Coturnix japonica: one gene and its partners. The protein of the gene in region 1 interacts with the protein of each later gene in a biochemical or structural test. Links are inferred from orthologs where the notes say so. Each region holds a gene or a part of one and is shown on either strand. Other genes may lie near its edges.

Region 1 (4,121 bases):
TGCAAAGATAGCGATGAATGGGGAAAGGTATTGCAGCTTCCTGTGTCGGGCAATAATTTATGTGAGAATGCATTAAAGGGTGTTTTCAAAGGGCAGTGGACATGCCCAGAGCTGAGAAAATTGGATCCGGACTGTGACATTGCAGCTCCTCAATTAGAACATTGAGACGCCTCTTGCTTTAGGAACAACAAGAGTAAAGCTGAGCTTCCAATCTCGCCTGCAGCCCCTCGCTGCTGCTGCTGCCGGTGGGAAAGCACTATTTGGGAGGTAGGCACACGGTGCACACAAAACTTGTTTTCAGCTTTTGGTGCTTGAAAGTGTGTAAATACAGAGAGCCACTGCTGTGCCGCCGCAGTCCTTGAGAGCCTCCAATCAATACTGTGCAGAACAGATCCAGTGCACGGCAGAGCTGCGCTCAGATAAAGTAACGTTACATTGATCAGCACTGATTTAATTGGAGGCGAGCGGCGCTTATTGATTCAGTTGTCAGGCCGATTCTACAGAGCAAGCATTGCACGGACTGCGCTAGCAACCTTTTAGTTAATGGTATCTAAAGTAAAAGCTTTATTAAATTATACTCAATTTTAGATACCGATATTATGCATCACTTTAAATCACTTCGGGCACCGCTGCTGCATCACCAACACACAGCTGACCCCACGCCGTGCACACGGGTGGTGTTTGCTGGGTGTCACCATGCCTCGGGTTGGGGCAGCGCTGCTGTAGCCTCTGGTCCTACAAACCCCCCGCAGTCAGGTGGCCGAGGTGGTACCGTGAGTGAGTGCGGGTGCCATCAGGGCTGCGTGCGGGCTGGGGGCGGCCGCCTCGCCCTCCCCACCGGGCAGAGCAACGCTCGCATCCCCAGCGGGACCGGAGCCGGGGCCGGGCCGGGCTGTGCGGCGGGGGCAGGGGCTCCGTACCGCAGCCGCAGCGATTGGCAGAGCCGAGCAGCGCCGTCCAGGAAACGGCTCGGATTGCAGCTGGGGGAGTGACCAGGGGAGGAGGGAGGAAGGAGTCGGAGGAGCGTGCGGAGAGAGAGAGAGAGAGAGAGGGAGAGAGAGGGAGAGGGAGGGCGAAAAAGAAGGAAAAAAAAAAAAAAAAGAAAAAAGAGGGGGGTTGTTGGACTGACAAAGCTGCGGCGGCACGGGGAGGGCGGCTGGATGGAGCGGAGCGGGACCCGCGGCGATGCCCGCGCGGGGGAGGAGGCTGCTGGCGCCGGGCACGGCGGGCTCGCCCCAGTGAGGCGGTAGCGCCGCAGCGCAGCGAGGGGACGGGACGCCGGGCGGGCTCCTGCATCGCCGCCCCGCCGCCGCCAGCCCCGCATCCCGCGGGGGATGCGCCGCGTTGCCCTGCGGGGCCCCCAGCCCGCCCCGCCGGGGCTGCCCGACGAGTGAGCGCGGCCGCGGAGCCGACCGGCTTCAGGTAATGGCACGGCCGGGGGTAGGGAGGGGAAAGGTGTTGGGGGGGAGTGGGGGCAAACCCGAGGAGGGGAGGGCTCGCGGCGCTCCCGACGGGACGGGGAGGCTCGGGATGCTGTCTGCGGTCCCGTCCGATGCGGCGAAACCTTTAGGGGACGGTGACAGCGGGGCTGAGAGCAGCTCAGCCCTCGGGAGCTCCCCACGGAGCGATGCTCGGCGGAGCGGAACCGCCCCCCGTCCCGCACCGGGTAAAAAAAGAAATCCGCGGTGATATATAGGTTTAAATGCAAAACGGCTCGTTCAAACAGTGAGCCATTATGCGTTCGGTGTGAAACGCTATCAACATTTAAAACTTCATTGTCTCCTTTGTACCAAATCCCTGTAAATCTTCCACTAGCCTTTACTCATTTTCATCTGAAAAGCCTGTTTGGGCTGAATAGACAGCAATCAACAGCCTCTGGACTTCTCTCTCTCTCTGGAATGTCAATTAAAATGCAGATCTTTTTTTTTCTCTTCCCCCCCCTCCTCATCTCTTAGTGGTAAAAGACTTGAGAAAAACAGGATAGTCCTGGAAAGCGAATGAAAGAAGTTCAAACAATGCGAAAGTACGGAGGCTTGCCAGCCGGTTCCCATTAGTCCTCCAGAATTAATGTTTAATAGCTGTGATGCTCAGATTTGCTCGGAGATTGAGCGGGGATGGAGACGCGTGCGTACGTATGTCTGCATCTCCGTATAAATAGGTGTCAATATTTAAGCCCATATGCGCTCGTTGGGGAGCTCGGTGTGCTCGGATGGTTGTAGGGAAGCTGCCGGGTGCTGGCATTGGGGGAAGCTCCGTATTTCGTTCAGATTTCGCTATTCCCTGCCTTAATAGAGAGCGCTGCTAAGAGCTGCCCGATGAGCAGCGTATTGATTTGGTTAACATGCTGTACAAATTGGACCGTCCCCGGGGAGTGATAAACATCTTATAAACAACAATGGGAGTAGATTAAAAAGAACACTGAGCGTTGAATTTAATTAATGCCACTGCTGAACAAGAACTACTTGTTTGCGAGCGAGTGTGCTCAAAAGTGGAGGAGAGCTCGGAGGAATTTGGTTGGGCTCCCAAACCAGTCTGCGTTCCCATGCTCGTCAGTTTGGCACAGAAATTTGGGCAGGTATGTGACGAGGTGAAAATTGACTTGATGAGCGAGTGGCAAGGAGAGCCATCAATCATTGGGGGCTGACAACTCCTCCCCGAAGTGTAGGCTGAGAGGAGAGACAGAGTTCCCTTTCAAGGGGAAAAATAAACACTACGTGTGGCTTTCACTGAGTCTGAGACTCCAGGAGGGATTATGGTATTGTAGTCAGGAAGCCAGAATTGTGGAGGCCAAAAAGCATGCTGGGGCTGTGTTCCAAACATTGAGATAGAGGTACATAATTAACCAGCGCAGGAGGTCCTTCCAGGGAGCCGTTCCCCGGCGACTGTGGCCATCAAACTATGAAAAGAATTTGGGTTCTTTTGGTCTTCGTTGGACTCCGTTTGGTTTGGGAACGGGCAGCGTTTGGACCGTGGTTGTAGATTTGGGTTCTGCGGATGGGCCCAAAGCTCTGAGTGTCGCTTTGCTGCACCTTCTTGAGCCCAGGCTTTGAATTTGGTGTTACCCTGCAGGGGAAGAGTCCCTCCGTGCTGCTGTTGGATGCTCAGTGCAGGAGCTGGCAGCCTCCTCCAGGTGAGCAGTGCTGCCATTCGGGATGGGCACACGGCTCTAAATGGCATTGAATGCAGCCTGGAAATCCTGTGCTGCTGAAATGTAGGTGGGATTAATGCTGTTTAGAAAAGAGTCTGGGATATATGATAGCATTCTGGTATGTTTTCTTTTTGCGAAAAAATATGGTTAAGCTTTGCATTTATATACGTAGCCTTTAATCAGGCTTTACGGGATGATTTATGGAAATTAAATTAGCTTTACCTCCAGTCTGTTAATTAGGATTTATACCTGCTTTACAGCTGGATAAACTGTGCTGTGGGGCTGTGAGTCAGAGGCTGAGACCCGTCCTCGGGACAGAACTTGGGCTCCACACCTGCATTGCCCTCTTGTAGGGAGGTGCTCTGTGGGTTCTTCCCCAGTGTCTGTGAAGTGGTCTGGCTTTGGTTCTGCTGGAGGTGGAACTGTTGTGTGCTTGTGGTGTCGTGCTCTGCTTCAGTCTCTAAAGGAGCAGCGGAGCATTGAGCTGGGATGGGAAACGCTTGCCCCAGAGAGGCAGAGGTTCACCTGAAATGCTGTGTCTGAACCCTTTACCCAATTGGATCTCTTCTCAAATCTGCTTCTGCAGAGCCTGGGGCTTCCAAGGATGCCCCACACACACCTGTCCCCATTTCTGGGAGCTGAGTTCAGTTTCCAGCCCTGAGTGAGAGGCTGAAAAAGTCTGAATACATTCCTTAATGGTTGGCTCCATAAAGGCAGAACATGTGTTCGTTTTGCTGAGTTCTACATGCTGTGGTACCATAGCTCAGGCTTCTTTTTTTCCCCCTCTATTTAAGGATGGGGGCAGGAGGGGGGAAAAAAGAGGTTTTATGCAATTCTTTCCCCAAGATCAGTGCTCTCTAAGCTTCAGTTGGGTCTCATTACTTCTAAGATGAGTTATTGGCTGATTTGAACAGCTTGCTTGATTTATCCATCGACAGTGGTGTGCCACCTTGTATTTTGGGGGGGGAAATAC
Region 2 (2,683 bases), on another chromosome or scaffold:
CTTGTAGGCAAACTGAACAGAATGAAATAACTTTTTGGTCATGTAGGGCTTACTTTTGAACACTTTGATACATAGAAAAATAGTTGTGTCTCTTCTTTATCATGTCACGTGGATCTTGGCTGGTGTTTCAGATTAGTCGTATGGGTTCTTACACTGTTCTCTGAGTCTCGGTTCCACCATCTGAGGATTTATTCTGCAACTTTCTTTTACCTAGTATAACTCGGAGCTGCTATTAAATCAACTTGAGTGTGTGGCAAAGATTTTCTACGTTTTTGCATTGTTTCCTTTGAGATGTCCATTGTGCGATTTGCTGCAGGCTGTCATTTTTGTCTGCCATCCAATGTATGTTGGCAAGAGGGTTGTGTACTAGACTTTGTGTCTGGTCACAGAAAAAAATTCATGCATCTCAGCCAGACCATTTTGTTATTCCTTTAGAATTAAAAGCATATGAAACAGATGCAGCTTAATCAGTTTTTTTTTCTTGATTTTTTCTTTTTTTTCTTTTTTCTTTTATAAATAACATTTAAATAACTTAAAACAATAAGTTCAAATACAACTTAAAATAAAGTTTAATGCTGTAACAACAGAAAAAGCATGTATAAGGTTGGAAGAAAAAAAAAACCAAACAACAAACAACATTATTAAAAGCTGTATGCCCTAGCAGGAATTATACAAAAGATAGGATATGTTACATAAAATACCTTAATATGTCTGAATTTTTTCTTCGTCGTTATATAAATTGTTACTTTGTGAAAAGTGAGATGAAGTATGTTATTTATTCCTATTATTTTACATACACTATTTTGAAACATCTTTTAGAGCAGCATTAAGTATTTGTTTCATTAATAGATAGGAACATTTTTGTAGTAGAGTAAACTTAATTTTTCCAAACTAACTCTTTTATCTGAAATGCAACAATAGACATTTACACGATTATATATTTTTTCTGATCATATAGTTTATGTATAGGTTATCGGTTTCTTGGGGAAGTATTTAAAATACTGCTCAGCCTCCACACTTACTATTGACTTGATAATCTGACAACTCGTTCCAGCAGCCTTAGAGTCTGACATATTTTACACAACATTATCATCTGCTTATTATTATTATAGCAGCCATATTTAAGAAGCAGATTGTTTTCTGTTTTTGTTTTTTTTTGTGTTTTTTTTTTTCTTTTTTCATTTAAATTAAATATTATCAGATAATCAAGTCATGAATTATTCTTCAGGGTAAATTAATTTAAGAAACTACCCAGTTAAAATGACTAAGATAATGATTGTACAACTCTTTAGAATTCTTTACAGCTTTTAGTTAGGAAATCTGGTTTTGCGTATATTTTCAAATCTTTTCCACGTAGTCTCTTAAAAATAAACATAAATGCGCAAGTCCAGCTTGTTCAGTTTCTCAGTAGTATTCCAGCCTCTCTTGATACCTTGTCAAATAATCTTCTTAAAAATAATCTTCCTGCTGGAACTAGTTCTGTACAGATCGTGTATGATTAGGATATTGCCAGAGGAAGAAAGTGGGATGCTCTGTGTTCTTTCTTTGTTTTTTTACCCTTCATTGGAACACCTTTGTGGTTTAATGTAATAAACATCTCTTTTCCTTTGTGTGTCCATTTTGCAGAAGCATATGTATTATAATGGTTTTCTTCAATTAGTTCTATGAAGTTGCAATCCTCATTGCATACTTTCTGTTGAGAATAAATAATTTAGAGTAAAATGAATACAAATGTTTTTAAAAAACAATCAGAGAATACTTAGATGGAGGGAGATGGGAGAAAAAGGTTCATCACAAAAGCTACGTTTTTAATATTATGAATATTAAACAAATTGATATACTAGTGATAAATAATATTATTAACAGTGATAATAAATAAATTACACTTCTGAAACCTGAGTATTGAATACTTCAGCTTTGTATGTTCTAACATCTTGAGTTTTAAAAAAGTGCACAAACTCCAACAACTAAATTTTGAAAGTGTGTATGAAAGTTGTGCACACATGGGATACATTTTAATTTTTTAGGACTTTCTGTCATACAACCTGTTTCACACAAAGTATGACATCTGTTTTTCAGAGAGTTGTGGGGATTGTTAGAGAAGTTAGCAGGGTAGTTGTGTACACAGTTGAGGAGAATTTAGCTTCCATACCTTTCCATAGAGTCTTCCTGACTTGTTCATTGCTAGAAAGTATTCACTTTCCACTCCTTTGATTGCCACTATTCCAACTGCCACTGTTCGGATTTCTAGAATACCTGCAAATGTATACAGGAAAAATTACACCGATGCAAAGTATCTGTTTTCAATTCTACCTTTATGATTTCTTAAACAAATACAATTCTGTGCTTATCGAAAATTCTTATCTGCATTTATTAGAAAAAGTATTTATTTATTCATGTGAAGAAAGGGCTAGATTTTTAAAATCTCTATATGTGATCATCACGGCCACTTACAATCTGTAGGATAAATTTTAAATATCTACTGAAATTGAAATGTTAGAAATTTTTATATTTTCAAAGAATTGATGGATGTTAGGATTTATTGTACTCCGGGTTTCATTTAGAAGAATTACATCCGTAGCCATCAGGGTTCAAGGAATTTGTGTAAAGCCTTTGTTTTGAAGACACGTGTAGCTGTATCACAAATGAACAAGTGTAAACCTTGCAACTTGAAAGTGATAGG
Region 3 (4,442 bases), on another chromosome or scaffold:
GAAAAGCCTAAGACAGAATCACTAAAAATTTTCTGACATGCTCTGCACTCAGTGCAAATACGTGCAGAATAAATACTCTAAAGAACCATAAACAACATCATAAAACATATTGATTCTAACATTAAATGGTTTCATTTTTAAGGCTGTTTAAATGTCACCCCCAGAAGCTGAGAACATAAATTTAAGAGCTAACTCTCTCCAGAATAAACACCATAATTGGAGAAAATCATTTCTAATTTCTGTTGTGAAGCTAACAATATATTTAACATCCTAATCTAATGAATCAGTCTAATTTTAGAACTATTTGTTCTTTTCTACATTTTCTGCTCTTTAAATGAAGATTGACTCCAAATGCCACATGTAATTGCATAGGCGGTTTTCCATTGCATCCCACTGATCTGCATTATTAAACTGCCTCTATTTCACAAAAGTTCTGGTCTTACATATCAAGGAACTTGCTGTGTTTCTCTTGCAGCTCACTTCTCCACCGCTCTGTGCCCCTAGTTCCACCTACTTGCATTCCAGAACCATTATTTTACGATACTAAATATTGAACGAACACTCAACGTCTAGCAATGCTTGCCCATATCCTGTCAGACCCCTATCCTGCACTATGGTGTTAAAAGATAGTACATCATATGAAAGATGCCTGTTAATTACTTGGAAGACTGACAGTTTGGTGACGGGATAGAAATATGAATCTGTCATAACATCCAGTTTGTGAAATGACAAATCCATTAGGAGAAACAGAATCAGAGGAGAAAAACAACAACATATGCCTGTCCGGGAAAATAATTGCTTGAAAAATCACTTTAAAATAACCTTGGAAATGGAATATTTGTTTCTTTCTGGCAAAGGAAACTGCTTTAATAATAATATTAAAAAGAGAGAGAAAAACATTCAGACATATTTTATAGGGGAAACCTTTGCCATCCCAATAAAGCCCCTTTTGCTTTGAAGTCATACGCGTGATTCAGTAAATGACTCATGTTAGCAATTAGAAAATGGTCATTTAGGGCCCCGATTTCTTTTGAGACAAGGAGGGTGAGGGTGGGGAAAGAGACAATAAATCTTGAGAGGCTTAAAAGGAAGAGCAGACTAAAGTGTGAACTTTTTATTTCAGCAACGGAAGTGAGAAATCAGTGATTCATTAAAGGAGGGAGAAAGACCTCCATGGAAGCTGGCAAAGAAGGAAAAGGAGCTAATTACGTCTCTTCCCCTTTTTACTCTCTCTGACCAGCATATAATCTGCTCTCTCAGGGTCTGCTAGCAGCATGTACTTCTTCCCAACCTTTCCACCCAACCCCTCCTCCAGTGAGGGGGAGGGGGAGGTCTAGCAGGCAACAAGCTCCAGGTGGCTTTCTCAACTGCTCCGCTGCCAAAAGAATAAAATAAAATCCTTCGCTAGAAAACAAGTTTCTTTTTTTTTTTTTTTTTTTTTTCTTTTTTTTTTTTTTTTTTTTTCCCCCTGACTGTTGCGGGGGGAGCCTCCCTGGAGGGGATTGGTTCAGCCTGCAAGACAAGGAAATTAGTAAGGCATGAGTCTCCAAGCCATGCTGGTGGCCAGCACTCCGAGGAGTGGAGCGCTTTAGCAGCAATTAGCAGCGAGCCGAAGGCGGCGGCGGCTGCTGCCGCTGCAGCCCGGGAGGAAGCGAGGGCAGCTCCTGGGGCTCCCTCCGCAGCAGGCACAGCTCTCTCCAACTGCAAAAGGGTTTCAGATGTCCCACCGCTGCTTGACCTCCTGCAAATAAGGGTTGACCACCAGAGGCACATCCCACCTCTGATTTGTAATCGCTGACATTTAGGCTACAGCTTCCAACCTGTTTACAACCAAAGGGGAGGGAAAGGAAAGGAAAGGAAGGGAAGGGAAGGGAAGAAGGGGTGGGGAGGGAGAGACAAGTTGGGATTTTTTCCCCTCTCTCTCTTTCTCTCTCTGGGTTTTTTTTGTTTTGTTTTGTGGGGTTTTGTTTGTTTGTTTGTTGGGGGTTTTTTTGTTTGTTTGTTTTTGTGGGGGTATTTTTTTTTTAATACTGTTCTGGAGAATTTAAAGCAAAACAAAGAAACTGCCTCCTCTGTGGCTGTCAGTGAGAAAGGACGAGTTGTGCAACTGGTTTGGGATTTGCAAGAGGGCAAGGGGGTGGGGATCAGAAGAAGGTGCAAAGCCACAAAGTGTGAGTGCGAGTGTGTGTGTGTAAAGGGGTGTGTATGAAAAATCCCTTCCAGCACCCCTTTCCGCTGGTTGTTATTTATTATTGTTGTTGTTGTTCATTCTGCTGTCATCTATTTTTCAGACCTTTCTGCATCTAAGATGGTGAAGAAAGGAGTGAGGAAGAGAGCAAAATAACTACTGGGAAGTCTCAAACCAGGTTGGGGAGTGTGTGTGTATGTGGGGCGGGGGGGGTGGAGATGGGGGGGTGGGAGGGGGGGAGGGTGGAGAGGGGAAGAGAAAAAGGAAAGAGGATTAACCACAGCAACCCCCCCAAAACACCAACAGCTCTTTTTTCTGAGGGAGGACTCGAAGGATTAAAAGGCAGCAACTTCTGAGGCGATCTGTCCCCTGAGTTATGGATGTTGGTGCACTTACTTCAGGCCAGATCAGAGCTCAGAGGGATCTAACCAGAAGCAGCAACCACCGGCTCTCCACTTGCCTTTTACCAGGTTTTACCCATCCAGTATGTTTCTTTTGATAAGACATTTTCCAACGCCCAGAGTTTCAGTACAATGTGCAAATGGATACTGACAAATGGTGCCTCAGCCTTTTCCCACCTGCCTTGTTGCTGCTTGCTGCTGCTCTTCTTGGTGTCTTCTGTGCCTGTCACCTGCCATGACCTCGGCCAGGACATGCTGTCCCCGGAGGCCACCAACTCTTCTTCTTCATCATCCTCCTCCTTCCCCTCGTCCTTCTCCTCTCCTTCCAGTGCGGGGAGACACGTGCGGAGCTACAATCACCTCCAAGGAGACGTGCGCAAGAGGAAGCTCTACTCTTACAACAAATACTTTCTCAAGATCGAGAAGAACGGCAAGGTCAGCGGCACCAAGAAGGAGAACTGCCCGTTCAGTAAGTACGGCTCCAACGCCGCGCCTTCACCGCGGCAGCCCCGGCCCGGGAGGGAGCGGGGCAGGGGGCGCCGGGGGCTGTTCGGGGTGGGCTCCTCCGGGAGCTCCCGCAGGCACGGGCGCGAGGAGACCTTCCCGGCCGCGTTTGTTTTGCAAATGGCTTCGCCGAGCACAGTTTGTTTCTCTGCATGGCAGTAGAGCAAATTAGAAAGATTTGTGAGGATGTGGCGCGGAGCGTGTGTTGGGGGGAGCATTGTCTCCCGAATATGAAAATCATTATCCCCCTGTCATTAAACTGCCTTGACGAGAACGCTCTATTAAAACAATGCATCGATTTCCCCCCACGCACGCACTCCTCCCCGCGCCGCACCGGGGCCGTCCGCCCCACTCTCCCCCCGGGGCTCCTCGGGCGGCAGCGCCGGAGCCGGAGCGCTGCATGGCGAGCGGCTGCGGCGGGACCGCGCGGACCTCACACGCATCTCATTGTCAGTCTCTGCTCGGAGAGAAACGGTTTCAAAGTAAAAGTCGTACGGCTGTTCCCATGGCTGTGCTTTCGAGATTTTCTGCAGGACTAATTAGGCTTCTAGTAATAGCGTGCTTCTGGTAATGTATTTCTGGCTGTCAGTGTTGGAAATGTAACTTTACTCGGTTTTCTTGCCTGTGCAGTCTCAAACTGAAGCAACTGTAGTAAATCACAGTATATTGCATTGTAACTCTTTCAGTGACTGCATCCCGCTACAGGAGCGTGCTGAAGAAGTCAGATCTGTTAAGCAAGAGTTGGGCTCCAGTGCTGGAGCACCACTCCTTGGTTCTGGGGTTATTCTTCATAAATCCAGAGAAACCTGGGGATAAAGCTTCTGTTAAACAACTTGAGGTGGCTGGCTAGCTAATGTGTCAAGTACAGAGTACTTCAGCAGGCTGCCCTTCTGTATGACAGACATCACGGTTAATTCAGCTGTATTTCTTCTAAATACCCGTAATGTAGTCTTAGAAGGAAGGAGGAGAAGGCTGATGTATCATATGTCACTGCTTCATTTGCTCCACCTTGCAACTTTGTACTTTATCATGTGCTTAATGTTTGTAAAGGGTTTAGTTGTCAACACAGCTGTCTTACCACCTCCCTTCAGTATTTCATAGAAAGCTGAGTTCTTGGAAAACAGAACAGCTCCAAACACTTTGACAAGTTTGTTTAGAACAAGGTCCTAGCACTGTATTTCTTAGATCACTGTTTTTTTGTTGAGGACAGCATGATTCCCTGAATTTGGGATTCTGAGATCTTTGTGTGCATCTCTGCAAACATAAAGCCATGCTGCACAGAACACCTCTGCAGTACAGTTGGTGAGTAACCCAACCTGAAAACAGTGTGTGCAGAGAGGGAAATGCTC

What was found.
Region 2: the proteins of FGFR2 (region 1) and FGF7 form a complex in vitro, tested with the Homo sapiens proteins (3 studies listed by BioGRID). The link is inferred for Coturnix japonica from reciprocal best matches to the Homo sapiens genes FGFR2 and FGF7.
Region 3: the proteins of FGFR2 (region 1) and FGF10 are reported together in a solved structure, tested with the Homo sapiens proteins (3 studies listed by BioGRID and IntAct, with this or other methods). The link is inferred for Coturnix japonica from reciprocal best matches to the Homo sapiens genes FGFR2 and FGF10.

Annotation. Positions count from the first base shown.
Region 1 is NC_029521.1:27,586,003-27,590,123, reverse strand, and holds the start of FGFR2 (fibroblast growth factor receptor 2), read left to right. Parts: upstream 1-1,310; 5' UTR 1,311-1,422; intron 1,423-2,482; exon of another isoform or gene 2,483-2,575; intron 2,576-2,942; exon of another isoform or gene 2,943-3,130; intron 3,131-4,121. UniProt on the Homo sapiens protein: Tyrosine-protein kinase that acts as a cell-surface receptor for fibroblast growth factors and plays an essential role in the regulation of cell proliferation, differentiation, migration and apoptosis, and in the regulation of embryonic development.
Region 2 is NC_029525.1:9,370,363-9,373,045, reverse strand, and holds the end of FGF7 (fibroblast growth factor 7), read right to left. Parts: intron 2,257-2,683; coding exon 2,153-2,256; intron 1,694-2,152; coding exon 1,499-1,693; 3' UTR 546-1,498; downstream 1-545. UniProt on the Homo sapiens protein: Plays an important role in the regulation of embryonic development, cell proliferation and cell differentiation. Required for normal branching morphogenesis. Growth factor active on keratinocytes.
Region 3 is NC_029547.1:15,722,731-15,727,172, reverse strand, and holds the start of FGF10 (fibroblast growth factor 10), read left to right. Parts: upstream 1-1,549; 5' UTR 1,550-1,753; exon of another isoform or gene 1,754-1,787; intron 1,788-1,967; exon of another isoform or gene 1,968-2,171; intron 2,172-2,291; 5' UTR 2,292-2,366; intron 2,367-2,494; 5' UTR 2,495-2,721; coding exon 2,722-3,058; intron 3,059-4,442. UniProt on the Homo sapiens protein: Plays an important role in the regulation of embryonic development, cell proliferation and cell differentiation. Required for normal branching morphogenesis. May play a role in wound healing.